2 linked regions of the Mytilus edulis genome follow. The protein of the gene in region 1 purifies or fractionates together with the protein of each later gene. This does not show direct contact. Links are inferred from orthologs where the notes say so. Each region holds a gene or a part of one and is shown in the gene's direction. Other genes may lie near its edges.

Region 1 (16,448 bases):
AACAAATTGTGAAAAATTGTCATTAAAGGACAATAACCCCTTAAGGGGTCAATTGACAATTTTGGTCATATTAACTTATTTGTAGATCTTACTTTGCTGATCTTTTTTGCTGTTTACAGTTTATCTTTATCTATAATAATATTCAAGATAATGACCAAAAACTGCAAAATTTCCTTAAAATTACCAATTAAGTGGCAGCAACCCAACAATGGTTTGTTTGATTCATCTGAAAATTTCAGGGCTGATAGATCTTGACCTAATGAACATTTTTACCCCATGTCAGATTTGCTCTAAATGCTTTCGTTTTTGAGATATAAGCCAAAAACTGCATTTGACCCCTATGTTCTATTTTAAGTAACGGCGGCCATGTTTTTTGACGGATCAAAAATCGAAGCGCACATTTTGTGCAGGATATACTAAGGAACAATCATGTTAAGTTTCATTTAAATCCATTCAGTAGTTTCAGAGGAGAAGATGTTTGAAAAATTGTTAACGACGACAGACGACGACGACGACGACGTCGACGGACGCCAAGTGATGAGAAAAGCTCACATGGCCTTTTAGGCCAGGTGAGCTAAAAATGGTTAAAAATTGACTATAAAGGGCAATAACTCCTAAAGTGGTCAACTGACCATTTTGGTCATGTGAACTTATTTGTAGATCTTACTTTGCTGAACATTATTGCTGTTTACAGTTTATCTCTATCTATAATAATATTCAAGATAATAACCAAAAACAGCAAAATTTCCTTAAAATTACCATTCAGTGGCAGGAACCCAACAGCAGAATGTCCGATTCATCTGAAAATTTCAGGGCAGATAGATCTTGACCTGATGAACAATATTACCCCATGTCAGATTTGCTCTAAATGCTTTGGTTTTTGAGTTATAAGCCAAAAACAACATTTTACCCCTATGTTCTATTTTTAGCCATGGTGGCCATCTTGGTTGGTTGGCCGGGTCACTGGACACATTTTTTTAAACTAGATACCCCAATGATGATTGTGGCCAAGTTTGGTTAAATTTGGCCCAGTAGTTTCAGAGGAGAAGATTTTTGTAAAAGTTAAAGCAGGACGACGACGACGACGGACGACAGACGCCAAGTGATGAGAAAAGCTCACTTGGCCTTTCGGCCAGGTGAGCTAAAAATGGTTAAAAATTGACTATAAAGGGCAATAACTCCTAAAGGGGTCAACTGACCATTTCAGTCATGTACTTAATTGTAAATCTTACTTTGCTGAACATTTTTGCTGTTTAAAGTTTATCTCTATCTATAATAATCTTCATGATAATAACCAACTAGAGGCTCTCAAGAGCCTGTGTCGCTCACCTTGGTCTATGTGCATATTATCAATGGACACAGATAAATTCATGACAAAATGGTGTTTTTGTGATGGTGATGTGTTTGTAGATCTTTCTTTACTGAACATTCTTGTTGCTACAAATATTTCTCTCTATAATGAACTTGGCCCAGTAATTACAGTGGAAAATATTTCCTAAAAACATGACGAAAAAGTTGTTAACAATTGACTATAAGAGGCAATAATTCCTTAAGGGGTCAATTGAAAATTTTGGTCATGTTGACTTATTTGTAGATCTTATTTTGCTGAACAGTTTATCTCTATAATAATATTCAAGGTAATAACCAATATCTGCAAAATTTCCTTAAAATTACTAATTCGGGGTCAGCAACCCAACAACAGGTTGTCTGATTTGTCTGAAAATTTCAGGGCAGATAGATCTTGACCTGATAAACAATTTTACCCAGTCAGATTTGCTCTAAATGCTTTGGTGTCAAAGATATAAGCCAAAATCTACATTTCCCCTCCATGTTCTATTTTTAGCCATGGCAGCCATCTTGGTTGGTTGGACGGGTAACGCCACACAATTTTTAAACTAAATACCCCAATAATGATTGTGGCCAAGTTTGGTTAAATTTGGCCCAGGAGTTCTTCTTGTCAGGTTGTTTGCTGTATCAGTGAATTTTACCAATTGATTCAGGACTAGCATGTGAAAAATCTATCCCATTATTTATGTACATGTATTAAGCCATGTGAGTAACTGTCTCTTTGTGTATTAATCATCTCTTTAAACATGCATCCAATTTTAACTCAAGTGGAAATTTATAAAATATTGAAGGTCCTATATAAAATTCATTACAATCAGGTAAAAAGCATAGCCACCAGATGCAATCTTTGATTATAGATGACAAATTTCCAACCAATTTCTCTTAATTACAACTACTGGGGAAAAGACCACTTTCGAGTCATGTCCTCCACCTGAAACAAGTGAAAGTGTGAGCTACTGCTCACTGATGATACCCCCGCTTAATTATTTAGGTAAACAGGAAGTTGTTGAGGGATGAATCTGAAAACACATAACATGATATAGTTGACTTATATAAACCCTGAAACAAAATTTCAGAAATCCTTGTATTGTAGTTCCTGAGAAAGATACGACGAAAATTTTCAGCTATCATGTGTAAAATTATACAAGTGTTCGTTAAACATAAAGTTTGTGAGTGATGAATCTGAAAACACACCACACGTTATAGCTGATTAATAAAAACCCTGAAACCAAGTTTCAGAAATCCCAATAGTTGCTGAGAAAAATGTGACGAAAATTTTCAACTTGGCTACCATGTGTAAAATGATACACTGTAATTTCAGAAATTATTGGAAGCATTCATTATTGCAATGTTAAGAATGAACAAAAATGAGAGATCAATGTTTGCAATTTCATAAAAACCTGCATACAGATATATGTATGAGAATGCAAATTCATATTATTGTGATTCCCACCCAGTTGCATTATTTATATTGACAAAAAGGGTTAACCTGGCAATAATTTCTGAATTTACAGTACCTTTGATCAAGACTACATGTGGGTCAATTTAATAGGATTTAAATTAAAACACAAAGTATAAAAAACATTTAATTTCAATTATTTTGATCATCAACAATTGTCATTATTGTATACATGGTATACATGTCTATCAATTATAAAAATAAAATTGCACCTTTATTTAAATTACTATAATCAACACTAATAATATATTTATTAAATTGTCACATTTAACAGACCACCTGGAATGTAAAGTTCTTGCATGTGACTTAATTAGAAATATATTACATGCCTTACACATAGCATGAATATAGGATACTGAAACATGCCATGTTAATAATATTAATATAATGAGCAAATGATGAGTAAAAAATTCAAATTCTAGAATACATAAATCTAATCCATAGACTACTCCCTTTTCTCTAAACTATATCATGTATTTAAATATATATATTCCCAGTTTTAATTCATCAAGTTATTTCTTTTGTTTGGTCCAAATTCTAATATTTAGGAACTAAACTATATTGATATATATTTTCCCAGCTTTTATTCATCAATTTCTCTAAATTCCAATTTTCAGAATCTATTAACTATAAAATAATTTTGATATATTTTCCCAGCTTTTATTCATTAGAATGTTTCTCTATTTTGTCCAAATTCTAATAATCAGGTACAGTATAATCTTGTCTATTTCACAACTTCATTGTGTTGTTACTACTTGTTTTTCTTTCTTTAGAGTTTTGTATTGTTCTTTGAGATGTATCACTTTGGATTTTAGATTTGACACTTTTATTACACTGTCTGTTGCTTGTTTAAAATAAGCCTGGCTTTGACGTAAACTTTGTGGTACTAAAACACCAAACCATTTAATTGGGTCTTTGTAATTTTTAGTATTATTTGACATGTTTGAATTGTTCTGAGTTGATTGTTCTACATTTTCTGACCCAATAGTTTCCACATTGTCTTTTCCTCCACTTTTACGCTGTCTCAAACCTTCAGAAACTGGATCTATTAAACTCTTATCCAGACAACTGTTTGTGTTTACTAATTCAAACATTTTGTCGACACAGTCATCATCATCTTTATCTGTAACCAAAACCAGTTTGGAAGCTTTCATATTATTTTCATCGTACTGTGAAACACCAACAGACTTGGCCCCCATATTGTATCTAGCCCTTGACATCATCAAGAATCCACTTTTCATTATATTTTCTAGATCTGCTTGTTCTTGGTAAAGTTCTCCAACGCATTCGAAAAACTCTACCAAAACTTCATCTAATCTTTTGTTTACAGCATCCATAGTTGACGGTTTCTTTTCACTCATATTCTTTTATCCTGTCAAAATAAAATAAAATAGATTTAAGGTATGGTATACACCTAAAACTTCAGACACTTTGATAAATATGATAATATTAAGAATGCAGACCATCATGACCATACATGTAATATATTGTGTATTTTTCTAACACTCAATGGATTTTTCTCAGCATATTCTTGTTTAGAATTGAACATTACAAGACATTGATTTCTTGGAAACATCCAGCAGTTCCACGTTATGTTGTTTGACCTGTTTGAGAGTAGAAATACATGTAGGGTCAACCTACTCTTATTCTCCTTAATTTTATGTTTTAATCTAAAAATATCTACATGTATAGTCATGATAGTGTATTTGCAGAATTCTTCTTAATTTTTGAAGACTAATATTATAAAGTACATTAGGATTAGAACTTGTTTATTCTGATTGATCTGTTTAATCTATTTATCACTGCATGTGTCAAGCTATATTAATTCATCTTTATATAGCACATTTTGTTACTGTTAATTATTGTTTTTCCTTAATTTGGTAATTTTATGTTTACATGTAGAAAGTTACATAGACTATTTATTTTTCTAAAGAGTTTTTGATGTTGACTTTGTTTAGTTGATTAATCTGTTTATCACTGATGCGTGTCAAGCTTTTTTAATTCATTCACCGACGCGTGTCAAGCTTTTTTAATTCAATCTGTATATATATATATATAGGCATAATAGCACATCTGCTTATTGGTGATTGCGATTAATCATGATTTTATGATTTTATTGTATAATATCAGTGTTTTTAGTACAATGTAGTGGTTGGTGTTCAACAGTGTGCAGTGGTGTTTGACTTTGAAAAGACCCACCCCCAATTAACATGATTAACGTGAGACTTGCACATGTTCATGCTTATTGCGGCATTTTCCTTCCTTCTTAACAATTTTGGTCAAATCTCAAGCCTTTGTTTCATGAAAAATTTATTATCCTGTTGATCATTGTCTCTTTACAAACTAGTACTGTTAGCTGAAGAAGAGCAATTTCAAATTAATAACTAAAATGATGGTTCATTGTCTGTCATTTTTCTTCTTCCAGGTAAGGAATCAGATTCAAAGCTGAATGTTAATGGTTCTGCACGAAAACTTTACACAGTGTCGGGCAATACAGAAAGTTTTCTCTTGGCTATTTACAAATTACATTTACAACGTTCGCAAAAATATACACACAGGCACTTGTTTCTGTCAATGTGGGGTTTACTATCCATACCAGTACAAAAAATCTTTGTACTGGTATGGATAGTAAACCCCACATTGACAGAAACAAGTGCCTGTGAATATACAATTAAAATTATTTACAACTGGTTTTTCTTACTTCCTTTCAGAGCATATGTAAGACATAATTGTGTCCTATGAAAAAGTGTCCACATGGACACTTTTTCATTGAAATTTGGTATTTAATAATGTCCATTGCCATGGAATGGTGTCCCTCAAAAGGACAATTTTTACTGCTAACAACATGAAATAGTGTCCACTCACAGGACAAATTTTCATAGTAGTTGCTATTAAATTGTGTCCTCTAAGGGAAGTAATACAAAGGTCATTACAAAGTTTTATTATACTTAAATTTTAATTAAAATATGAAGGATTGGTGAGAAATTGATCAATATACAAATGTAATTTGTATATTGATCAATATACAATTTAACTATTGTCAGTTTATTGTCTTAATTTTGTATGCCATAACCATTTAATGTAAATGTGTTTGTGCGAATAAAATATTGTCTATTGTCTAGTGTCTAGTGTCTATTGTAAACAAATAAATAATGGATGGAAGTGAATATAGAGAAATTTAAGTTCTAAGAAATTCCCAACAAATGGTTATGACAATGAAAGAATAACAATAAGAAGGAAGTGTAAAATCAAATATGAAGAACTTTGTAATATTTATTATGTCAGATAAGAAGGCAATAGAAAACAAGAATGTGTCCTCAGTACACGAATGCCCCACTCGCACTATCATTTTCTATGTTCAGTGGACCGTGAAATTGGGGTAAAATCTCTAATTTGGCATTAAAATTAGAAAGATCATATCATAGGGAACATGTGTACCAAGTTTGAAGTTGATTGGACTTCAACTTTATCAAAAACTACCTCGACCAAAAACTTTAACCTGAAGTGGGACAGACGGACGGACGGACAGACGGACGAAGGAACGGACGCACAGACCAGAAAACATAATGCCCCTCTACTATCGTAGGTGGGGCATAATAAATAATGTCCATTGCCATAAAATATTGTCATTTAAGTGGACAGCATTTTACAGCAACAGTTATGAAATATGGTCCATCTGCTGAACAAATTTTCGTAGTGAATGTTATTTAATTGTGTCTTCAAAGGAAAATAAAATAGAACAGCATCTAACATGTATATAATTATATTAAAAAAAATAGATATGAAGATAAGGATGGTATGAGTGCCAATGAGACAATTTTTATGTCAAAGTAACAATTAATTCAAGTTCATAATTAAAGTTAAAATGCGTCCAGTAATAACAAGGCAATGGAATCATTTAATACTTTAATCATATCAAAAAGTGCCCTGGCGGACACAATGTCCTGTGAAAAAAATGTCCACCTGGACAATATTATGGTAGTGAATAATGTCCATGTGCATGGACACTTTTTCATACCTAAGGACATGTTTTCATAGGAAATTGTGTCCAGGACACATTTAAATAAGTAAATATTGTCAAAATGTGTCCAGTGGACATTTGGCCCAAGACCACAATTAATGACCCCGCTTTTCGTTGTCCACGAATATAGTTCCTTTTAATTAGAGTGTATTTTTCCTTAATTTTTTTTCTTTCCTTTCCTCACTCATTCCTTAAATCTTTTTGGGTGGAAATGAAAGAAGAGAGGTCAAATAAATTTTTGGAGGTTGTATTTTAACTGATTTTTATATGGAATGAGTGATTAGGTCAAGTGCAAAAAGGTGATATTTACAGTTTTCGGAACTTCTCTTGACTTGTCAATAGGGGTATGGATGTGTATTGGCTAAATTTGTAAAAGTGATTGCTTCAATCTTTCTGAATTTTGGATATATATTTGGACTAGGACAATACATTACACACACAAAAAATTGGACAAAAGTGCATGGTGCAATTTTTTTAATGATGCAAAAGGTTATAAAGAACTGATAGAGGAATTAATTGTGGTCTGTGGCCATTTTTTCATGGAGGACATTATTAAATCCTACACATGCCTTTAGGTATTTTTATCATGACAATCTACCCTACCAACTGTATTTTTATTTTGGAATAAGAATTGGATTAATCATTAATCAAAGCAATGGGTGATACAGTTATAAGACTTACACCTACAATACATCAAGATAATTTTTGCACAGGTCGAAATAGGATTTAAGTCATTTTGGGTAAACTCGCGAGAAGTATCGAAGGAAAATCACGCGGGAACAAATTAAATATCATATTTCCGGTGATAAATATATTTTTGTTTTGTTTTATGTTTATTCTTCTAAATCATGTCTTGAAGTTTGACTAAACTGAATCATTTGTTATGAAATATATTTTTTTAATGTATCTCGAGTATCTCCCATCAATAGTTGACCCTCAATATTCAAATAACAAATCGCACTTTTACAGTCGGTTCTTCTTTTGTCAGGGTTTTGTTAAGTCCGAAATTTCTTTTTTTTTTCATTCGGAGCTTTTCGTTACTTTTCATGCATCTTATGTTACAAGGTTTGGCATTCGTACAGCTAGCCAAATTCCTTACATATGTTTGGAAATGGAAATGGATTTCGACACTTGTTCATCTAATGTGAATATTGATGATCTGCCTGAAGAAATATTAGAGTTTATTTTATCCAAGGTTTCACCATATCGTGATGTCAAGTCATGCATGCTTGTCTGTCGTCGTTGGTACCGGTTAGCTGCAGGTAAAATAACATGAATAAAACCAAGGATTGGTATAGTCTATGCAAAAGCCCACGAGATTCCAATCCTTCTTACTATACAAATCCTTGATAAAACTAAAAGATTATTTCCTTAATTTATAAAACCTGACTTCGATTGCGATTTTCCTCATACTTAATGAAAGCCTTTTTATATTTCTGAAACTGTTATTTTTCAGACTTATATTTACATTGGTATTATAATGAATAGATCCAGAGATGCAATAGCCCTGAACCTTCATCCAGACAGCTTCTAATCTCTATATACCTTATCACTATTTGAAAATCTGTCAGATATTTTGTATTATGACGTCTGAATTTTAAGAGAAATTCAGCATAAATTTCAGTGATGTCCACAACAGTCCAGTAATGGCAGGCAAACAGTGATAAGGTGTTAAACAACCTTCCTATATTATTTATTGTTAATTTGTGCATGTCCTAGACTAGTCCAAATAATTATGACATCTTGAAAGGCTATTCTAATTTTTTTCTTTGACGCCTTACTTCGACGCGTCAAAGAAAAAAATTATTATAGCCTTTCAAGACGTCATAATTATTTGGACTAGTCCTAGATGTGCATGAAATAATTTGCCAATGGATTATAAGCAATCAATCAATCTTATTCTAATATTGAGAATTATCATGATTATACATGTATGAGAAGAAAAAAAATCACAGACAACTTTTTAGACTAACAAAATATCAAATGGATAATGAACAACATACCCCTAGAGCTGCAAAGGTCATCCTCAGATGTAAAACTGTCAAAGATCATAAAATTTCTGACCCTACAATGGAAAAGTGATTGTTGTATGACTTCAATTGTTTAAGCATAGCAGATGCTCGGATCAAGAGGTGCAGATCTCCAAATAATAATAATAATAATAATAATAAGAAATTCTTTATTTAAAGAGGGTAAACTCAGTTAGTTACAATAAACTAATCTTCCCTGAGGCCCTCACATACATGTACAAATTACAATACAATCAAAACAGATATTTACACATAGTTAATTTACACTCTTGTAGTTCAATGTATTGTTATTAACATAAGATATAATGCTGTTTAAGATGTATACATGTAGTCAAAAAATCAAATTTTGAAAATGAAAAATTAAAAAATATACAAATACATTGTAGCAAACATTTCTTATCAGGGTTGTGTTAGGTACTTCTTGATACTTTGCTTAAAAGTAAAAGTGTTTTGAGCTTTACGCATTGTGTGTGGTAGTCCATTCCATAAAACTGATCCAGAATAAGCAAAGGATTTCTTAAATAGTTCAGCTTTTGGCTTAGGAACTATCCGATTACCTTGAGTGACATGTACACCTCTTAACATGCTTAAGGAGTAAGGATTATTATCTGATTTCAGTTTAAACTTTTGAACTAGGTACATTGGTGCTTCCATACGCATACATTTATATAGAAGTAAATATTTGTGGTATTTTTTTCTATTGTCAGCTGTCATCCACCCAAGTTTTCTAAATAAGGGGGCTGAGGGGGGTAAATCTGCATCTAGAATTAATCTTGCTGCCCTTTTTTGGAGTTTTAAAATTCTTGTTATCCGTTCATTTTTACATTCACCCCAAATAATACAGCAGTAGTCAATTAAGGGAAGAATATACCCATTGTAATATGTTTTCCTTGCATTTATATCTAAAAAATTCTTTATTTTAGAAAGAAGGTATGTTCTGGATGATATAGTAGGCTTATTAGCACAAACTTGGTCAATTTGATTTTTCCAGTTAAGTGTGTTGTCGATTTTAACACCTAATAATTTTTCACATGAAGAATTTTGTAATACTTTTGAATTTATTATCAAGTTTGGTTGACAGGTCTGAAATAGGGATAAGGTGTATAGAAGATAATAAAATAAAGCGAAGGGCGACAATATAATGTTTCTTCATATTGATTTTGAATTCATTGGAATCTTTGTTGTTATTTTAATACCCAACCAATGATGAATATGTAAACAATCATGACAATCCTTAAGAAAGTTTTTTTGAGTTACAACATGTACAATGTAGATCACATTCTATTTAACTGTATAATCAGTGTTTTGATGTGCCAGGTATTGCCATAAATTATTAAATAGATTAAAATAACAAAAATGATGATTTATCAATCATGTCAATATTGAAATAAAGGAGATGTGGTATGATTGCCAATGAGACAGTTATCCACCAAAGTTCAAATGAATTAGATGTAAGCAATTATAGGGTTTCCCCATTTCCATTTTCAATTTTACTAACCATGTTGTCAACAATAATCTTTTTATATCAAAGGTGTGACAAGACAACTAAGACAGACCTTTCAAAACTGTGTATATGAGAGTAAAGTGAAATGGACAAAAATTGCACCAGAGATCGATATCATACGGGTAACAGAAAGATACTCCCATTGTGCTTGTTATTATGACAAGTCATTGTATGTATTTGGTGGATGTACATCAATGAACACGACCTTTAATGACCTCTGGAGGTTTGACCTGGCAAGGAGAGAATGGATTAGGCCATTAGCAATGGGTAATTTTATGTAGAAGTTTGGATTTTACAAGCTGTTTTGGCCTATGGGGTCGTGTAGCAGTGTCACATGGTTACATTGATTATGGGGAAATTAGAATAGTATGTTTGATTTTCTCAATGCTATAAAGTCAAAGTATGGTTTTTTTGTTAATGTTGTTTTATTTGATATTGAAAATAAGTTTAAATGAAAAAATTATGATTGAACTACAAATGAGCAACTAACAGTAATTATTAATATAATGTTGAACTGCAAGGATTAATAAAAAGGGGCCTACACTATTGACTTTATTTTTCCAACTATAAATATAACATTTATCATTGAAGATTTCCTACATTTTTAGCCAAGGAGTAAAGAGAACATCTTTAATCATTTGTTAATCATATAACAAATGTTTTTGTTGCAGGAACCTATCCATCACCTAAAGCCTGTTCCAGTATGGTGGTATATAAGGACAGCTTGGTATTATTTGGTGGATGGAGTCATCCTACTCCTTATCCCTTACACCAGGTGGGTTATAACGAATTCGAAAAAAATCAGGAAATACAAAAAAGCATACTTTGTTGTGTGTAAGCTATTTATAAAGCTACAGATTGCTGTGCAAACTTAAAACTATTCATATGAAAATAATCTATTGTTGGTAATTCTTTCTTTATGGAATGTATTAATGGTCGGCCAGTCTTGACTTGTAGTATGAATATTTGTCTTATAGCATGTTCAGATTTTTTTTTTATTTTGGTTCAAAAATAAAATTTGCATGTGCTTGATGTATATGTTTAGACTGAGGTAATGACACAACTCTCCACAAAGCATGACAAGATACCATTTGACACAGAAATTAACAACTAAAATGTATATATGTCTCAGTCAGGCCTTCAACAATGAGGAAAACCGATGTACTATGGATTCATTATTATTCGTTGGATACTAATTTTTGTGGGTATAGGTGAACCACGAAATTAGATGAATGACAATTTTCCTATTGGAATGATTGGCATGTATGTAGACTTCAGCAAAACCACAAAATTAAGTATCCACAAACGTGCAAGTTTTCCTTGATCCACGAAAATTGACAACGGTGAAAATAATTGAATCCATAGTATCTGGTTTGAAAGCTGATTTTCAATAGTAAATATTTTAATTTATGACAGTAAATGTGTAAATTCAGGCTTCAGTGTTGGTTTATTTGTATTAAATCAAATACCAATTTTTTGTCATTAAATGAAAAGTAAAAAAAGATTTAGATTTTGACATGTTTGATGTTTCACCTTTTCCAGGCTGCAGGATTTTTCTATGAATTACATATGTACAAACCAGAGGTCAACAGATGGTACCTAGTGACCAGTATTTCTAGAGAACATCCACCACCTACAGCAGGCCATTCAGCTTCTATTGTCAAAGATACTATGCTTCTGTTTGGAGGCTCTAGTGTGCCTGGAATAGGGTAAGTTTATCTCAATCCCATCTTCTAAAGCAGGCCATTCAGCTTCTATTGTTAAAGACACTATGCTTCTGTTAGGAGGGTCCAGTGTTCCTGGTATCGGGTAAGTAATTCTTGATTCAGCAGGCAACATGTGCTCTATTGTGAAAGACACTATATCCTCCTGTTTGGAGAATATCATGTGTTCCTTGTGTAATCTATAACAGGCCATTAAACTTAAATTGAAAAGGACACTATATATATTAGCTATTATGCTTCTGTTTGAAGGTCCAGTGTTCCTTGTATCGTCATCAGTTAATCCCTTATCCTCCATGTTAAAAGCAACTATGGTTCTGGTTGTACATGTTGTAAAGATTATATTGGGAACACATATTATTATGTCAATATAAACACAAGTAAATGACAGAATTTAGAAGAAAAATAATGAGAAGATGATCTTATAATATTTTTTTTTAGAAATTCTTTCATCTTACTATTTCTGGCTCTACATGTAATAAAAAAAAACAGAATGTGCTGTGCACTCCTTAATGACTCCTGTTACACAACCTTGATCTTAAAGATTTTTATCCAGTTGCCAAAAAAAACCAACAAAGCCTTAGAGACAATTTCCTGTAAGTTTTAATCATATTAACTGTTTATTTCAGAACAAATGACTTGTGGCGATTTGATTTTATAGATTTAACATGGAAGAAAATAGTAACAGAAAATAAGAGACCAAGTCCCAGATTTGGTCAGACACAGGTATGTACAGTTTACTCACTGTCATCTGCATCAGATAAAAACTTTAAAAAATAAAGAATGGAAAATATCTCAGTGTCAGTGATATATGTTCCTCTGGCAAAAAATTTATAACCATGATAACATCATCTGTAACATTTAAAAGCTGGATGATATTTCATCTGGATAGAATTTTGCTTCACATACACACCTCATGGATGATGATTAATGTTGATTGGTTTAAAATATCCTTTACTATTTAAGTGACAGTCATGGTTGTGAAAACTTGAAACTAAGTACATATATGCACAAACAAATTTGTTGTGATGTAAACTTTCAAAAGTATAAGCAAAATGAATGTTTTGATCCAGAGAGGAGGATTGTGTGCATTGGACATATTCTATATACAATTTAGAAGATTTGGTATGATTGTCTATGAGACAACTTCCCACAAGAGACCAAATAATGTTAAAGTTAGCAATTATAGGTCTGTCAACAATGAGCTTAACCTATATACAAAGCAAGACATAAGAGGCCTCGAAAAGACATATGTTAAACAATTGTAAAGAGACAATTTATGCCCTAGTTTGTAATTGTAAAGAGACAATTAATGGCCTAGTTTGTAATTGTAAAGAGACAATTTATGCCCTAGTTTGTAATTGTAAAGAGACAATTAATGGCCTAGTTTGTAATTGTAAAGAGACAATTTATGCCCTAGTTTGTAATTGTAAAGAGACAATTAATGCCCTAGTTTGTAATTGTAAAGAGACAATTAATGCCCTAGTTTGTAATTGTAAAGAAACAATTAATGCCCTAGTTTGTAATTGTAAAGAGACAATTAATGCCCTAGTTTGTAATTGTAAAGAAACAATTAATGCCCTAGTTTGTAATTGTAAAGAGACAATTAATGCCCTAGTTTGTAATTGTAAAGAGACAATTAATGCCCTAGTTTGTAATTGTAAAGAGACAATTAATGCCCTTGTTTATAATTGTAAAGAGACAATTAATGCCCTAGTTTATAATTGTAAAGAGACAATTAATGCCCTAGTTTGTAATTGTAAAGAGACAATTATAGTTTATAATTGTAAAGAGACAATTAATGCCCTAGTTTGTAATTGTAAAGAGACAATTAATGCCCTAGTTTGTAATTGTAAAGAGACAATTAATGCCCTAGTTTGTAATTGTAAAGAGACAATTAATGCCCTAGTTTGTAATTGTAAAGAGACAATTAATGTCCTAGTTTGTAATTGTAAAGAGACAATTAATGCCCTAGTTTGTAATTGTAAAGAGACAATTAATGCCCTAGTTTGTAATTGTAAAGAGACAATTAATGCCCTAGTTTGTAATTGTCTTAGTGCTGTTCAGTGGTTATGTGTTATTTTTTTTTTTTTAATAATTATTCAGTTTATTGCAATATTGGTTGTTAACAAATACCCTAAAAGGTACAACTATCCCAAATAGGTTTATCCCTGTGTGTGAATTATCAAATGTGTTATATGTTAACATTCAGCAGTTCTATAGTTATTTATTTTATAAGTTTTGGTTGAATCAGGATAGGAGATAGTATAACTCAATGATCAGAATGAATATCATTTTAATGTAGTCAATCAAATTCATGCTCTGTAGGATCTAAGTTTTTGTTCTATTTTAGAAATTGATTCTGTAATGATTGGTTTGATTTTAGGTTACAGTAGATGACCAGCATATACTAGTGATAGGTGGTTGTGGAGGTCCTAATCAGGTAAAATATGGTACTGAATTTAAATTGCTGTAATTGAAAATGGAATTTCTTGTTTGTGAAACAGATGCACTTTTCTGGATTTAATAAAATTGAGAATGGAAATGGGGAATGTGCCAAAGAGACAACAACCCGACCATAGAAAAAAAACAACAGCAGAAGGTAACCAACAGGTCTTCAATGTAGCGAAAAATTCCCGCACCCGGAGGCGTCCTTCAGCTGGCCCCTAAACAAATATATACTAGTTCAGTGATAATGAACGCCATACTAATTTCCAAATTGTACACAAGAAACTGAAATTAAAATGACTTCACCAGAAAGTTTTACTCCTAAATTTTGAAAGCTTGGGATGTATAAAAAAAATATAAATACTGGGAGATATATAACCAAAAGGGCCATAAAAAGAAAAGCAAATTTCATAAAATGATCAAGTTTGTAAAAGTATATATAATGTTTGTAGTATAGTTATTTTCACTTCTGTACTTACCTGAGTATTGACTTGTATTTGATAAGCTATCAAAACAAGGCTACATGATTACTGTGGAACTACATCATTTGTACATACTCTAAGGGTGATGTGAATCAGAAAGGGGCACTAATAGAATTCCAAAGATATGTTTTAGTATACATACATTGAATTTGTCATGTGTCATCCTAATACAATTTAAGAAAAATCATTGGACTTCTAAACACCTTTAACAAGTTTTCCTCATTCCAAACTCAGATTGAAATAAAAAACCAACTTTCTTTCATAAGAAAATATGGTAAACACATATACAAATGTCCTGTTTAAGAAATAGAAGAATTGAATGAAATTTTATGAATATGAATAAAAGAAGATGTGAGAAAATTGTAGACATCTTTGTATTTCTATCTATTCTTATTTCAGATATTTAATGACATGTGGTTGTTAAGCATGGACAAGGATCCGTGGGAATGGACAGAGGTCAAGGTCAATAACACTGACTGTGCTGCTCCTCAACTGTGGTGTCATCCTGCTTGCAAGGTAAATATAAAAATGTTTTTATACTATATGAAGGTTTTATTTATAGCTACCTGGTATTACTATGCCACATGTTGTATTACTGTTGTTTGTCTCTTCCTGTATATAAAATAAAAAGTTGTGGTATGATTGCAAATGAGACAACTATCCACCAGACCTCAAATTATGTACATGTTTACAACTATAGTGACTGTACAGCCTTCAATAATGAGCAAGTCACATATTTCACAGCAATTCATAAAAAGCTTTGTTATAGACTGTTGGCAAACAAATTGATTTCATATGCATACTCTTGAGACATTGAGTCAGACCTTTTAGTGGTTTTGTACCTTTAATACTCTTGAGACATTGAGTCAGGCCTTTTAGGGGTTTTTTACCTTTAATATTTGCCATGCACCAGGAACTCATTCACATAATACTAATGGGCCAAGCAAGGGTATCAATTTCTGAGCTCTGCTGACACAGAAATTATGCAAATCATTATGTAAACTAACCATGCTAACTGCTTTGTATATATATCCACAAAATAATAAACATGCCTCAATTTATTATGCAAATTAATATTTAAAAAGTATTACATTTCAAGCTTTATATTTTTTCTAGATTGGTAACATGATCACAGTTTTAAGTAAACCAACGAAATCAGTATCCAAACCAGCATCACAACCTAGTCCAAACTTACGTCAAGTGGAAAATATACAACAAAATAGAGTTTGGGTGCCACCAGTGGAAAGAGAAATACCACCGTCAGATAGAGGTGGTGAAGAAGCTGGACCCTCACACAGGATGCTAGGCCCTTCTCATTACGGGGACCAGAGGTATAACAGTTCAAGCACAGAAAGTGACGAGGAAAGTGTACCTCAATTTAAACGACCTTCAGTTGTAGAAAATGACTCATCTAGGCAACCTTCCCAACCAGGTCG
Region 2 (17,129 bases), on another chromosome or scaffold:
CCGATTTTGATATGGAAAGAGTGATTAGGCCAGGTGCAAAAAGGTAATATTTACAGTTTTCGGACATCTCTTGACTTGTCCATAGGGGTATGGATGTGTATTGACTAAATTTGTAAAATCTATACCAGCAACTTTTCTGAAACTTGGATATATTTTTGGACTTGTACAGTACATTACATTCACAAAAGATTTGACAAAAGACACAGGTAGATTTTTTTTAATGGGACAAAACGTTATAAAGAACTGATAGAAGAATTAATTGTGGTCTCGGGCCTAAGAGGTGCATTTCAGCAAATTTAGAATTTTTACTTTGACAGCTTCTCTGAATGATCTATTGGTATTAATTTGTCAAACTACATGAGAAGAAATGGAAATTTGTAAAAAAAAAGTCACTTTTCAGCTTATCTGCCCAAAATGTAGCTTTTTCACTTTTTTCAATATTTTTGCAAAAGCGGCATCATTACTTTTTCTTTGACAGGTGTTTTCTGATATCTATTAGTGTTTGTGATATTAATTTCAGTTGTTTTCTCATTTGTGAACTCTGAACACAAAGAAAAAGTAGATATACATAAACATAAAAAGAGTGCAAAGTGCTGTTTTAATGGTCTAAGTCTAACGGTCCGTATGAAGCAAGTGAAATGTGAAGCTCTATGCACTTAAAAAAATTGTATTCCTTAAACTGATTGCACTGAATCTATATCAAAAGCCCTTATTACTGGTTGTTGAACCTTGTCTGTTTCACAGACAACCTTTATTTTCTTCTGTTGGATGACTGATGGTTAAAATATTGTCCTTTTGAGGCCGAAATTTCATGCTGGTTTTAAACAGTAAAGTGAATAAACTTTACATCAGACCATACTATCTACATATATAGTTAAAAGCAGCAGTCTTGTTACATCCAGGCTTCATATTTGATCATATCTCAGCAAGGATTTGAGCAAAAAGAAGCCTATTTCCATCTCCCATTTCATTTATATGCAATTTAATATGAAAATATAGGGAACGGCCTAAATTGACAACTTGTTTTTTTAAGCTTGACATTGCTTAAGACCATGTCATTCTCATGTGTTATGCTACATTGTATTTGTAACTTATATTTACATAAAAAGAACATTTATGATATGTAGAAGGTTTTGATTTAACTAAACAATTTCAGAAAATTCTTGTAAGTAAAAATAAAATATTACATTTCATATATTATATTATAAAGTCTCGCTTCATTTGAAAACCTCTATTTTTTGGCACAGGGTCATATAAAATCAACTGTTGGTCCATTTTCTGATGCATTTAGTATGCTAAATATTTCTTTCAATAAATAATATCTTATACATTGAGACATTAAAAAGTGCAATTTATTGTTTTTGTGGCATTTTTGAAGCCAAAATTTGAAAGTTGAAATTGTTCTATTTCAACATCACAACTCAGCAACCAAAGTTGAGATATAAAAAATGCCACATTTTCTTTAATATATATCATATGGCTTTGAAACTTTGTAAACTGACTCATAATACACTAAGCTTAAATCATGCTAAGTTTTATTGGTATTGGTCAAGTATTTGGCCCCAAATAGGCCCAAGACCACAATTAATGACCCTGCTTTTCGTTGTTCACGAATATAGTTCCCTTTAATTACAGTGTATTTTTTCTTTATTTTTTTTTCTTTCCCTTTCTCATATATTTCTTAATTTTTTTGGGATGGAAATGAAAGAAGAGAGCTGAAATAAACTTTTGGATGCTTTATTTTAACTGATTTTAATATGGAAAGAGTGATTAAGCCAGGTGCAAAAAAGTAATATTTACAGTTTTCGGAACATCTCTCGACTTGTCCATAGGGGTATGGATGTGTATTGGCTAAATTTGCAAAATCTATACCAGCAATTTTTCTGAAACTTGGATATATTTTTGGACTTGTACAGTACATTACACTCACAAAAGATCTGACAAAAGACACAGGTAGATTTTTTTCAATGAGACAAATTATAAAGAACTGATAGAGGAATTAATTGTGGTCTCGGGCCAGTTTGTATTTCAAACTTATGTGACTTACTGGTACCCTTTAGATCTAACATTAACATCCATACCAGTTTGCTTTTCATACTTACTGGTACCCATTAGATCTAATATTATCATCCGTACCAGTTTGTATATGTATTTCATACTTACTGGTACCCATTAAATCTAATACATTGTATTAACATCCAGACCAGTTTGTATGAAATACTTACTGGTACCCATTAGATCTAATATTAACATTGGGACCAGTTTGTACATGTATTTCATACTTACTGGTACCCATTAAGTTTAATACTAATATCAAGACCTGTTTGTATTTCATACCTACCTGTTAAATCTAACATTAACGTCAAGCCCTGTTTGTAGTTTATGAATAACAGCCATGGCATCCTGCATGTTCTGTTCATAATTTAATTGCACAACCTCTGTAGCATTCTGAAATATAAACCAAAATGATAAATAAAAATTTTCAAAAATTCTAAATGACATCAAATGTAAATGTTCAAGTCATGAGGCAGAATAATTTCACGAATGAGCATTTACCAACTCTCATGTGCCAGGAAATTACATAATTAAAGGTTTAGAAATAAGATCCAGATGTAAACAAAATATATGAAATAATATCTTATTATTATATTATGAGATTTCATGTAATAGTTATGTAAGACACATGTTGTGTTAGGCTCTGATCCTGCCCATAAAGTTATAGTATGGTATTAGGTTTCTGTTTTGCTTTTTCCAATAATATTGTGCATAATATTGTTGTTAAATGATGCCCTTTATGGGTTCTTGATTAGATTAGATTGGTTATTCTCTCTCTAACATCAACTTGCCAAATAAATATGCCTGCTATGATATAACGTTTTCTCTTATTCTCAATGAATTTAACCAATTCTAACCTATTCAATAATTTTTTGTCAATTAACATGTTGATTTTATGTTGCTAGTTGGTTTTTTTGGAATGTTTTGATTTTTTTTCAAAATTGCCTGATTCTTTCTTTAGACTGGCAGTTAATATTTTACCTGTGGTTTATTGGCAAATATACATTCACCTAGATGTGCCATCATTTGTTCGGAGGAAATTATTTCAGTATCAGAACTAAATTTGATTTTTCCTTTTAATAATAAAACATTCATGATTGCCAACAATGGGCAAGGTCCATTTTCATTCTGTGTTATAATAGGTACTTCTTTTCCTTTGAACTTTGCCCATTTAATTTGATAAACACCCTCTAAAGATCCACAACTAGATTTGTCATCCATTGGAGATTGAGAACGCTCATTTTCACAATCTGTAGTTTCTGGTTTTAATGAGTCCTGTAATGTAGCACCATTATTTTTCTCTGATTCTGTTCTGTCCCCTTCTAAGGGAGGTAACTTCACAGACATTGTCTCTGAATTTGAAATTTCTGATTCTGAACTTTGAAATTTTGACAAATCTGAATATTTAGTATCTGACATCTGCGAGTCATTTTTAGAGTCTGACATCTCAGAGGTGTCTTTTTTCAAGGGAGGTAATTCCACTTTTAATTCCTCATTTCCAGACACTTCATTCTGTTTGCTGCTATTGTTTGTTTCTTTATCAATATCATTAGACTTTTCATTTCTTTTGGTAGATGGCAACGCCCATTTATCTGTTTCCATAGATTCTCCTGTTACACTGTCACTGTTTGAAACTGACTTATCTTCTCCTGGAGGAGTATAAACATCTGGTTGACTTTGATCCATTGTTGTGGTATCCCCTAAACACATTTCTTCTACATCATCAGATCCTGAAAAGTAAATATGTTTTTTCAAGTTTCAAACAGTTACAAGATAGAAATATAAGATAACAGTTCACACTCAGCAGTCACCTTCGTTTAGTTTGTCAAAATGAAATATGGCTTAAAAAAATTGCTGACATATTATTAACTTGCAAGACAATAACTAACCCTAATTTGTATTTGTACTCTGTATTTTGATTGGTTGTTTTGGACATGTGGTCAACAAGTCTAGTTATTCTGTTATTGAAAACTGTATTACCTGAAAATTGAAAATAGGGAACTAATTTCATTATTTGTGTGGGCCTGCAAAAAATAATCATTCTTATACAGTTTAACAATGATGTAACCAATAATTTAATTTTTATTTATGATATGAAATCAAGCAAGGGAAAACTTTTACCCCTGCTAATAATTTATATCTGTCTATATTTTCCTACAAAATGTGCATTGCATTTATATTAATTTTGGGTTCACCGGTTCACACGTCCATTGTCAATCTTTTGAGATCTTGCAATTGGCTAGCTATGACCAATTAGATATACAATCTCAAAATAATTTAATATAAATAATTTAAGATAAAATAGTTTCAGAATCATATTTCGTTCTGGTTTTAGTTTTGTAGAATATTCCTTTCCATGAAATAAACATAAATTAGTAATTGACACATGATTGAGGTCAAGACTCTAATTAATTTGGCAATTTAGCATTATATAAGAAAGATCATGTCATAGGGAACCTGAAGCGCACTTTCATTTTCTACGTTCAGTGGACTGTGAAAAGGGGATCAAAACTCTAATTTGGCATTAAATTAAGAACGATCATACATGTATCATAGGGAAACATGTGTACTAAGTTTCAAGTTGATTGGACTTCAACTGTATCAAAAACTACCTTGACCAAAAACTTTAACCAAGAACCTAAAGTGGTCCAGACTGACGAAAGGAAAGATGCACACATCAAAAAACATAATGCCCCTAAGTGGGGCATAAAAAAATCAACTTTAAATTGGTCTATAATTTTAAAAAAGTATAGTGGTATCATAAGTGGTATCCTAGTGTTATCAGTTCTCGATAGTGTAACACATTTTTGCTCCATAGGGCCAGTTCTTCAAAAAATGTTGTTAAAGCTGATTGTGTTAATTTAGTAGATACTTTTATTCATTTCCTATTATCCTCACAATTTTCTCTAGTGTAATTCAAGAAAAAATCAAAACATTTGTTGTTGTGCTCAATTTTGACATTGTGTCAGAACAATACGTCATTGATCAGTTCTCGATAGTTGTGAAAAGTATAGTATGGTGAGCATGTTTCACTTTGATATGAATAGAAGATTTCAAATTACGCAAATTGAAGAAAAGTATCAATTCACTATCATTTGTCTCTAGAAAACATATTTTTTTATGAACTTTTAGCCTTATCGATCAATTAAGGCATCTTTAACTGATATCCAAGGAATCATCACTAAAGGTCAAAAAAATGCATTGAATATTAATTTTAGATGATTTTAAATTATTGAACCAATCCTTATTTATCATTAGATGTTGTCACAGCTGTTATAAATATTTTTTGTCACAGTAACAATTTCATAAACAATATTTAAGGGCATTACTTTTCCGATAATCTAATTGAATTAATTTTATAGTTGATAAGATATGGCACAAACTGCGTTCCATAGAATTTTTTCCATAGCGACGTCACACCAGGCTTAAGGTAGCACAATACAAAGATTTTGTCACTCCTAATCAGACAACTTTAAACTGATGTAATTCATTTTATCCGTCTTTATATTTTATAAATGAGGTACCAAAAGAAGGAAGAAAGATTAATCTTTCAAATTGTGATAATTTCATTATGACATAATTATTACATAATTAATTATTATGTAATTAGTTGCTATATTGTGATGTCCACACTTGAATGAATTTAGCTTCTTTGTTCTTCATAGCATCCCAAAATATTTTATAGATTCTTGTACAACACAGCTTGACCTCCAAAACTGTGTCTCAGATTTCCAAAAACATCAATAGAACAAATTTTATACCCAATTGAATTTAGTGGTCTCTTATGATTTCATGTTGCAAACTTCATTGAAGATTTATGAGAGAATGAAATACAATAGGAAAAATCTGAGACACAGTTTTGGAGGTCAAACTGTGTTGTGCAAGAATCTATAAAATATTTTGGGATGCTATGAAAAACAAAGAAGCTAAATTCATTCAAGTATAGACATCACAATATGGCAACTAATTACATAACAATTAATGATGTAATAATTATGTCATAATGAAATTATCACAATTTGAAAGATTAATCCTTCTTCTTTCTTTTGGTACCTCATTTATAAAATTCAAAGAAAGATGAGTGGAATTACATCAGTTTAAAGATGTATGATTGGGGATGAAAAATCTTTGTATTGTGCTACCTTAAATTAAAATATTGTTTGTTTGCCCTTTACCGACCAACCCTATAAATTCGTTCCGCCTGAAAATCTTTAATTTGCATTTACCAGCAAGATTTTATTTTATTTTTTCGTCCTACCAAAAATCTTATATTTGTATTTCCCGCTCAAAACTTTTTTACCGGAATCCTCGGGTTTCATCTTTATCGTATAAGGTCAAGTCCGTTTGGTATCACGTGAGGGTTTGACATGCACACTTGCATATAGCATGCATAGAGTTTCAAAGCATTTGTTTGAAATCGATGTTAAACGCTTTGAAATAATGATATGACGTACGTTAACTCTGCATCTTTTTACTTGAAGAGCAGGGTTCATTTACAAAAAAGTTTGTTTAATAAAAAATTATTAACGTCTGTACAAACTATTTTGTGTAAACGGACGTTGTATTTTATGTAGGGATGGCCTTTTGTGATCCGTAGATTAGGATGATTATCATGGTTAACGATGCCTTCGACCAGCATTGCCATATTATTTATATCTGACATGAACCAAAGGTGACAAAAGCCTGTAAAGTGGAGAATATTTGGCAGTAAAATCACCAAAGTTTTCCATACAAATCATTTATAAATGCGATGTAAAATACGTGACAATTGAGTTCAAGTTTTGTAGCATTTTTATTGGAAACATGGGCACACACGGAAATTTAAACACTCTAGGGACTTTTTCTTATAGTAATGTATGTCTGCCCGGACATATTTAACCTGGACAAAGTAATCTCTTACAGAAAACCTTTAGGTAGAGGTAAGCACACAAGGTATGTAGTACAGAATATTAGTGCAATTTAAATCTCTTCAAAGTTACAGGCATAAATGAACGTTGAAAATATGCGACACAGCTCTTTATTTTGATATTTGAAAACAAAATAGTAGTGCAAAAAAAAAGCCATATGAATTAACTTCACATTCTACATGATATTTTTTTTTTCAAAACGTTGTCCCACAAACTTATAAGCAAATGCAAAACAGACAAAAAATGACATTATGCAGATTTTGTATCTATAAAATAAAATATTATACCTACCTGCCTACCCATGTAAAAAAATATACAGAGTCAAGTAATTTTTTTGGGGAAAAAAATAAAATATTTTACCTACCTACCTACCCTGTTTCAAAACATAGGGTCGGAAAAGGGCAAACAAACAATATTTTAATTTAGGCCCCAATTCTTACAATTGTGTATTACGTATGTGGACTTATCCTTCTTTTCGAGCTAAGTTTTGTTTACATTTGAAACTATGCTATTTATGAACCGAGGGGATGAAGTTGGGGTTGTTTTGGGGATAACGTAAAGTAGGCTAAAATCGGAAAATATTATCTTTACTGTTATAAATGTCATAAATCTTGAAATGTTGAAATTAATGATTGCTTGAAGCAAGTTTTTATTCTCAATCTGTCCTTAAAATACCGTCATGCAGGTGCGATTTCGCGAACCTACTTTTATTTTAACTATGCACATTGCTATCTAGAACTGATTAGTAATGAAAACATATGACTTCACGATATCATAAGTTAAGATTAAGGAGCTTTGTATCACTTACATACATATGTTGTTTTAAACAAAAATAGAAAACTCGTCATTTTAATTTTAGATGGTAACCACAACATGACAGGGTATTCATGTTGGTTACAAAACTAAAAATGACAAGTGTTTTACTAACATATACTTTTTGGCATGCAATTTTTAAAAAGTGCATGAAGATCTAAATTTTGACAAAAATTGGCAAAAAGTCCATATGTGTGGTTTCACTTTATTTTTTGCAACATTTGGCTTTTTTTTAAAAGACAATAACAAAAGTTTTGTGTCTGTTTTCTGTATAAAAAATGATGTTCTATTTCAGTGATAAAGCCAAAAGTTATGCTAAATCGTGGCATGACTTACCAGGGTTTGACGATGCGTCATCAATTCGAGTAATTACAGCATTGATTTCACCAGAATCGGTTTTATTTGAATTGCTGGTATTGACATTTAAATCGGCGATAATATTGTCGTTTGCAGACATGATAGCAAAATTAGTGCAAGCAGGTTATTACACAATGTTCTTTTTTTGTGTTGCTTTTTGCTTCAACTGTAAACAACTCTCGCCATTTTTCTCGCCACACTTAACCTCGACTCTAATACTACAAATTTTCCCAGGGGTTCAATGAGGGATAAATTTGCTCATAGAATATAATAAATTTGTAGTGACATGTGTTTGGGCGTTTTTTCCCAAGAAAATGTTCACAGTCGTTCCGTTCTCTTGGTTTAAAGGTCTTAAATTGTATACTTATTGGCCCACTGAGTACTTTCAAACAACTCAGAAGAATAAGAGGTACAAAATAGGGCATGCCCATTGACAACAAATATGCGCCATCTTGCAAAGTTCTGAAACTTGGGTCCCACTTGCATTTCATCTTATTATTCCGTTGCTTTAACTTATATAACATCTAAATTAATGCAGGACACTGATGGATTGAATATACTTTGGAATATTGATATGCTATAAAAGCATCAACCTAGATTTTTTTTGGTATTGTTAAAGTTGAATGAACTTTCCTGAAGTTTTGACCTCTTGATCCAGGACAGCATCAGTAACTGTCGGTGAGTAGTTTTAAAGCTTGAAAGCATTTAATTATTTTCTTGAAAAAAATAATAATAAAGTTTAAAAACACCGGTAATGTATAAATCTATTAAATTAAATGTCAATATAAGTATGTACAATTTTAAAGATTTAACTACGCTTGAAAAGGTGGTTGGGTTCAGAATTTCTTCCATATGAAAGCTGGTCATCAAATTTTTGGATCTTTAATGTTGGATACTAGATGGATTCTGGTAAGCCTGGATGTTGGCTCACTTGGGAACTTCTGAAAGTGGGTCAACAGGTCAAAATATTCAACTGTAATTTGTTCAAGTGGAAAACTATCCAGTCAGTATCAGCTTAATCGCACACTGCACTATACTGCAAATAGCGTTGTTTGTGGCATCTATCACGCTGCATTCGATGGTGCACCAGTGAAGTTTGCAAATTTGTGACTGTCCTAGATTGAATGATGCCGTGGGAACACCTGCTAGAATCGTAAAGTCAACAGCCAATCGGCACGCGACGTTCTCTGTAATTGGCTGTTTAATTTAATGCACCTACTTTCTTACAGAAGGCTTATCATGCCGGAATTTGCTATTTTAATTTGATTTGATGGAATATTTTATTTATATAATGAATAATTGATAATGAAATATTTATTGCAAAAGTTTATCACGTATAGAACGTAACCAAAAACTATTTTAATCTCCATATGGTCCCTTTTCTAAAAGTGGATAAGGGGGAGTGGATTGTAACAGCCCTTGATCATTGTTCTCACGATCAAAGATGCAAATGTGTTTTCCCACGGGTCTTCTAGGTTATTTACAACTTGAATCTGGCTCTTTTTAGGAGTAAAACAAAAAGCAGTGGTAACTCATTGCAAATGAAAGGATACGTATTATAGATGAGCTTGTTATGTTGACTCGTGTTATATATCAAATTTGGACAAGTGCTCAGAATTATAATGCAGTTAACACCTGACTGATTGATTTCTTTTTGAACATTTTCCGATATTTTCAAGATGAATAATCAACAGTTATATGTTTCCCAGGTGAGTCTACAATCATTATGTTCAATTTTATTTGTCTGACGAAGAGAAATAATACGATTTGATATATTGTGCAATATTTTATCATTTCATCAAAAGTTTTCTTTATATTGGAAATGATCACCAGAGTTGTTTTGACCTTTAGAAGTTGACCTCACAGACACCGCTAATGAGTTTACACTCGTGGGAATTTTTCCCACGGTTTTGTATACTTTGTAACAAGTGGTTGATATTTACATGATTAATCATCAACAATTTAAAAGATTGTTTACTTAAATTAAAGGCTGAATTTTAAAGTTTAAATACAAAGGCAATTTTATTTTCAATAGAATAGTTGGACAAATAAAATTTGTTTGCCAAGTCATGCAGTTTTCACAGGAGCTTACAAATTTATAAAATATTAAAAACTTGCATGTATAATTCTGATGAATTAAAATGTAAGAATGTTCTTGTAAGTTTTATGTAAGAAGAAACTTAATAAAAAATGCACACTGTTATTATAAAATATGCAAACTGTTCACATCTTTAGCTAGTGTTATTTTAGTTTGAGGTCACCAAAAAAATAATGCACTGGTGATCTTTTGCTGAAATGAGTGAAAAAAATGGTTTTAAGGTTTATTCACTCCTTTAGATTGTGTACAACTCACACATTTGCAACTCATTCCGCTTGTACCCTATTATTGTCTTGCTACAACTAAAGTTGCAGAAAGCCAAACATACATGTATGGATAGATTTTTCGAAGAAAATGAAGAAAATTGTCATCTTTTTCAACAATTTTTTCAGAGTTTTGTACTCGAGTAAATTTGATAGGAACTATTATCACATGTCGACATCATTATATTTATAAAGTTGCTTAAAATTTACTATCAGTATATTGATGACTACTTCAAGACCCTGTACCGTAGGTTATCATGGTCATGGTTTAGCAACTTTTGAATTAATAATCAATTTTCAATATTAAGTTAGTTTGATAGGAACTTCTTGTCATAGAACATTGATATCTATAATACTAAAATTACGAGGTCCAATTTGTCAGCCGTCATCGGGTAAAAACGACAAATCAAAGAATTCAACTCTATATATAACTAATATAGGACAATGGTGTAGATTAAAAATTACACCACTCCAGACCCTTTTGTTTTCCACATAATTATAAATATTGCCAATAATTAACAAGTTCCGGGTCTAATCCGATACCGATACCAATAGTATATATTCACCTGTTAGATATTACCTTATCTGTACGTTCCGCATTTGACAGGCGCACCACCAAACGGTGTATTTAGGATTTTGCTATATACACGGGTCATAATCAAAGGGCTGACACTACTAAATTCAATTGCCAATGAGACAGAAGAGATCAAATTAGAAAGATGTACAACAACACAACAGAACCAACTGTAAATTAAAAAATCAATTGGAAATGGCTTGATTCCTCAGATGTAAGAAGTACATGTTCTATCAAAAAGACAAAAGATGCAAAGTACACGTATGAAAGAGTACTTACATACATGTATAGTTGATGAAAGCTAATTACATGTAGTCAAAGTTAATTTCAACTTATTAATATCAAGGATTCTCCTGACTTAAACTAAAAATAAGACTGTTTAAATAAAAAAGTATGTTAATTACAATTGCGGAGGGTATAATGTTTTTGACCCTTTCGTCCGTCAGTCCTGTTTCTTGTCATCACAACTCCTCTCAAACCACACAACCGAATTTCACAAAATCTTTTTATATGAAAAGGACATATTATGTAGTTGTGCATATCGACAGGAAATTACGATTCAATTTTATTTTTAGGAGTTACGCCCCTTTGAACTTATTTGCTTCAATGTACTACTGCAACAGTTTGTCATCGCAACTCCTCTGAAACTACATAACAGAATTTCATGAAACCTTTTCAGATAATAAGGACATACTATGTAGATGTGCATATCGACCGGAAATCACGATTCAATTTTTTTCTAGGAGTTACATGTACGCCTCTTTGAACTTATTTGCTTTAAGATACTACATGTTGTACTTCAACAGTTTGTCATCTCAACTCTTCTGAAACCACAGAACAGAATTTCATGAAACTTTGTAGATAATAAGGACATACTACGTAGATGTGCATATCGACAGAAAATTACGATTCAATTTTATTTTTAGGAGTTACGCCCCTTTGAACTTATTTGCTTCAATGTACTACTGCAACAGTTTGTCATCGCAACTCCTCTGAAACTACATAACAGAATTTCATGAAACCTTTTCAGATAATAAGGACATACTATGTAGATGTGCATATCGACAGGAAATCACGATTCAATTTTTTTCTAGGAGTTACATGTACGCCTCTTTGAACTTATTTGCTTTAAGATACATTATGTACTACATGTTGTACTTCAACAGTTTGTCATCTCAACTCTTCTGAAACCACAGAACAGAATTTCATGAAACTTTGTAGATAATAAGGACATACTACGTAGATGTGCATATCAACAGGAAATTACAATTCAATTTTTTTCTAGGAGTTATGCCCCTTTGAACTTATTTGCTTCAATGTACTACTGCAACAGTTTGTCATCGCAACTCCTCTGAAACTACATAACAGAATTTCATGAAACCTTTTCAGATAATAAGGACATACTATGTAGATGTGCATATCGACAGGAAATCACGATTCAATTTTTTTCTAGGAGTTACATGTACGCCTCTTTGAACTTATTTGCTTTAAGATACATTATGTACTACATGTTGTACTTCAACAGTTTGTCATCTCAACTCTTCTGAAACCACAGAACAGAATTTCATGAAACTTTGTAGATAATAAGGACATACTACGTAGATGTGCATATCAACAGGAAATTACAATTCAATTTTTTTCTAGGAGTTATGCCCCTTTGAACTTATTTGCTTCAATGTACTTCTGCAACAGTTTGTCATCTCAACTCCTCTGAAAACACACAACAGAATTTCATGAAATTTTGTAGATAATAAGGACATACTATGGAGATGTGTATATTGACAGGAAATTATTATTCAGTATTTTTTCTTATACAATTTTTTTTTCTTATACTTATTTAATTTCTCCAATGACAATGTGGGGACGTGGGGTATGTGAGCGTCCTCACTAAGGTTCTTTAATTTGTACATGAACATGTATCTAGTATTACAAAATGTATGAAGGTTGTAGCCCTTAAGTCGCAAGCTTGCATGAGCCTTGGCCCTTGGGTAGATTATACACATTGTTTAATCATGTTTAATGTTATATCTGTTAGGCAGGCTATGGATACACAATAGAAGCATTGGCAGACCCACATTATGAACACTGCACACCTCAGGCCCAAAATGGACACAGTGGACATTTTACTGATGCAAGATACATGTTACAAAATGATGAAAATTTGTATCAGGGACAAGAAAACGTCTGTTCGACACGTAGAAACCTAAATGGTCATATGGCTCAAGGCGGGTATGAAAATCCCGTAGACTTGTCTAGTAAATTGATCAATGTGAATGGTTATATTAAGAGTGAATCTGTGCAAAATGGAGGATATCAACGAGAAAGGACACCCATTATGGGCAGTCATAGGGAACAAGGTCAGTTAAACTCCTTATTGTTATCCATTGTACATTTTGTTATAAATCATAAAAACAGGACCTTATATCATCAAATGGAAGTTTTTAGTGACGTTGACTGGCTATACAGCCCTTGCACCGTTGGTGGACCTTATATAATCTAGTTCAGGAAAGTTTATCCATGAAATGCCTCATTTCAAAAAACTGAAATGATTTTTGGTGTGAAGATTGAAAAAAATGCTTTTTAATCCCTACCACCACAATTGTCTTGCTTTTGATTCATACACTTTTTATTCTCTTCAAACAAGCATTTACACAAGTTGCATAAAGTTTCCACAATATTCAAGAATCTATGTTCTAGCTAAACAGTTATAAGCCAAGGGAGATAACTGAAAAATGTAACCTATTATTATTTTTGTAAAGAATAAAACATAATTGGTCAGTTCATGGTACATTTGTAATTGGATATTTAATATTTCTTTTGTGAATAGTTGACATTTTTCACAGTCTCAAATATGCAGAATAAATTTAAAATATTTAAAATAGTCTTCTAATTGTGGATTTACATTGCTAGTGCTGCATATTCATTGCAAGGCCAAGAGAAACCAACCTTGTCAATGCATCTTATTACTTTTTGGAGATCATATGCTTCCATTAATTTTTTTTTCTTTTTTTTTTCTTATCTTATTGAAGGGTTTATGAGATTCAAACACAAGTAAATTTCTGTTGCTTCTAAGTTTTAGTTAAAAATGTAATGCAAGTGTTAATAGTACAAGTGACATGATAGTCACGACAGAGTATTAAGTGTACATTATGTAATTTAGATGGAATGTTTCAAATCTTCATGAGAACTTAAATAAGGCACAAAATATTAATGGATTAAATAGTAACTCCCTGAAATGATCCAGTTCATTGATGCACTGTAATTGATTTTTATCATCCCAATAAAATGCTTTGAAAGATCACACTGCTTGATGCATATTTTAATCTGTATATCCAATGATTAGACTTTTTCATTTAAACTTATGTACATGTACTAATGTATACATTAGTTGCTTGTAACCATGCAAATCCATTCATTTTGTAGTACCAGTTCTTTTAAAGAACAAATGTCTAATAGTTTCTATAGATTGCCTTAATCTTTTATAAAACTGTTTCATTATGATTTGTTGATGTCCTGATAAGGCCAAACAAAATAATATGTGTGTTTTCTATTACCATGATTACATCTTTAAAAAAAAAATTGAGTAGTTACAAACAATGTAGGTAGGTAGAGTTTTTTTTTAATTTTGTTTTATTGCAGTCTATATATGGAAGAGAAATTCTGACTTTAACAGTGCTTATTGAAAAAATGAAATTTTATTTAGGGTAGGCTATTTCTATGCTTAAAAAATAGAGGAGGTGGAGTAATAGGAAACACATCTTTTATATTTGGCCTAAATATATTTCTGTGGGTTAAATGACCATTAATCTATAAGGGATGTAAACAGAAGTATTGATAGCGATTGGAAATCAAACAAGCACTGCCTTATTTTACACAATTAAATTAACAAGCAGAAATTGATTAATTTAACAAATAGTTGAAGGTTCTTTGTAGAATAGGATCATTATAAGCATGATTTAGGCCAAATCAGTTGACAATATCCGACAAGATATCAAGTTTCTCTTTGATAATTTGTTTCATAGGTTTAAATAGTTTCTTGAACATCATGTAAATTGGATGGCTACAATGTACATGTATGTTAGTTTTGTCAGTTGTTTCTGCTTAATTTTCTGTTATTTAAACTGTTCATAAATGATAGTTGTAGCAGAATTTATGAAGTAATTTTTACGTGAGGAAGAATGTATTGGATGTTTAGCTTAACTGCAAAAGCCACTGTATACTATCTCTGCAGTCATGTTTTAAAATGGTGGACGATTACATTTTTTAAGAGTTATGCCCCATGGAAATATTAAATTTATTGAAAGTGGCCAAGTTAACTCTCATGAGTACAATTCTTGTAAGATTTTTATAAAACTTATACTGTAGGTTAATATCAGCAACATCTTGGACAAGTTCTTAAATGGTGGACGATCAACTTTTTAAAGAGTTATGCCCCTTCGGAAATATTAAATAAGTGCAATATGCGGTGGACATTGGAACTCTGTTTTATTTTTGTGGAGAAATTGGGAGTATCTTGAGAAAATGAACCACTGACCTTTTACAGGAAGACTGACTACCCTTATCAAAATTGAGATCTTGAATGTGGATGTTACTAAGTGAGATAAAAAGTGATGTCATACGTATACTCACAATATCAAATATGATCCCTAGATGTACTTATAACTTTCAAATGCTTCAAAATGGTTTCAATAAAATGTTTACAAAAAGAAGATTTTTAGGCTAAAAATGTGACTATGTTTATTTTGTGAGACAATTATGTATACCCAAAAAAATCAGAATTCAAAATGGTGGCTCTGTTAGTTCCAGAAAGTAGTAAATGTTGGCCCCATTGCCAGCAATGCTATTTTTATCAATCATCTCCTTAAATGGCGTTTTGAATCAACTATTTTCATGGTTCAGTGACCACTTGAAAAAAAGGTTCAGAGCTTTTGTAATGTTGAATTCTCTCTTATTATAAGTAATAGGATAACAATATTTGATATGTGCGTACCTTGCAAGGTCCTCATGTTTGTCAGACAGTTTTCACTTGACCTTGACCTCATTTCATGGATCAGTGAACAAGGTTAAGTTTTGGTGGTCAAGTCCATATCTCAGATACTATAAGCAATAGGGCTAGTATATTCGGTGTATGGAAGGACTGTAAGGTGTACATGTCCAACTTTCAGGTGTCATCTGACCTTGACCTCATTGGTCAAAGTTAAGTTTTTGAGTTTTGGTCTTTTATCTAATACTATATGCCATAGGTCAACTATATTTGATGTATGGAAATATTTTATGATCTTTATGTCAGTTGCGCAGGTTTATTTGATCGTGACCTCATTTTCACGGTTCATTGCACAGTGTTAAGTTTTTGTGTTTTGGTCTATTTTTCTTAAACTATAAGCAATAGGTCAACTATATATGTTGTATAGAAGCATTGTTAGCTGTACATGTCTGTCTGGCATGGTTCATCTGACCTTGACCTCATTTTCACGGTTCATTGGTCTTTGTTTAGTTATCTTGGTTAATGTTAAGTTTATGTGACAGTTGTAATTAAGCTTAGCTTTATACTTAGGACTATCAACATAATATCAATGATTAGTATAGAAAGCGAGACATTTCAGCGTGTGCACTCTTGTTATCTATATGTCATGTTCCCTTCATAAAATGGCTGCACCCATGATTTAGTACATTGTAACCTTTATTTACATGATTGGAAATCCAATATGGCCACCAACATTACCATTTTGAAGTATTTTTTAAATCATCATTTTTATGTGTTTAAACCAATTAATTTTAATTATAAATCCAACTTGAATTTCCCTTGATATATAGAAATGAATCGATAAATTCTTCCTTCTTATATAAATTGGTACATATCAATTGAAGTATACTTGCACTTTTACAAAAGTTTAAAGATATAATCAATGGTTAAATGACACAAACCTTACAAGTGTGTAATTTTCCCTTTTGAGCCTCAGGAAAGACAAACAGTGGTATGGGAAAAGCACAACAGATTACAGGTGTTACTTATAATTATCAATAGTAAAGCTAAGCTAAGATAACCCCAAGTAAGGTTTTCT

What was found.
Region 2: the proteins of F-box only protein 42-like (region 1) and recombining binding protein suppressor of hairless-like purify together in Homo sapiens (affinity purification with mass spectrometry; 3 studies listed by BioGRID and IntAct, counting the BioPlex papers as one, with this or other methods). This does not show direct contact. The link is inferred for Mytilus edulis from reciprocal best matches to the Homo sapiens genes FBXO42 and RBPJ.

What each region holds. Positions count from the first base shown.
Region 1 is NC_092356.1:55,203,468-55,219,915, reverse strand, and holds the start of F-box only protein 42-like, read left to right. Parts: upstream 1-7,854; 5' UTR 7,855-7,938; coding exon 7,939-8,089; intron 8,090-10,388; coding exon 10,389-10,628; intron 10,629-11,032; coding exon 11,033-11,136; intron 11,137-11,903; coding exon 11,904-12,070; intron 12,071-12,711; coding exon 12,712-12,808; intron 12,809-14,468; coding exon 14,469-14,525; intron 14,526-15,411; coding exon 15,412-15,528; intron 15,529-16,128; coding exon 16,129-16,448. Other genes in the region: coiled-coil domain-containing protein 115-like, read right to left, coding at 3,544-4,167. UniProt on the Homo sapiens protein: Substrate-recognition component of some SCF (SKP1-CUL1-F-box protein)-type E3 ubiquitin ligase complex. Specifically recognizes p53/TP53, promoting its ubiquitination and degradation.
Region 2 is NC_092350.1:41,713,090-41,730,218, reverse strand, and holds the start of recombining binding protein suppressor of hairless-like, read left to right. Parts: upstream 1-9,349; 5' UTR 9,350-9,811; coding exon 9,812-9,841; intron 9,842-13,102; coding exon 13,103-13,424; intron 13,425-17,074; exon of another isoform or gene 17,075-17,129. Other genes in the region: ubiquitin carboxyl-terminal hydrolase MINDY-1-like, read right to left, coding at 2,342-2,448, 3,037-3,785, 8,112-8,232. UniProt on the Homo sapiens protein: Transcriptional regulator that plays a central role in Notch signaling, a signaling pathway involved in cell-cell communication that regulates a broad spectrum of cell-fate determinations.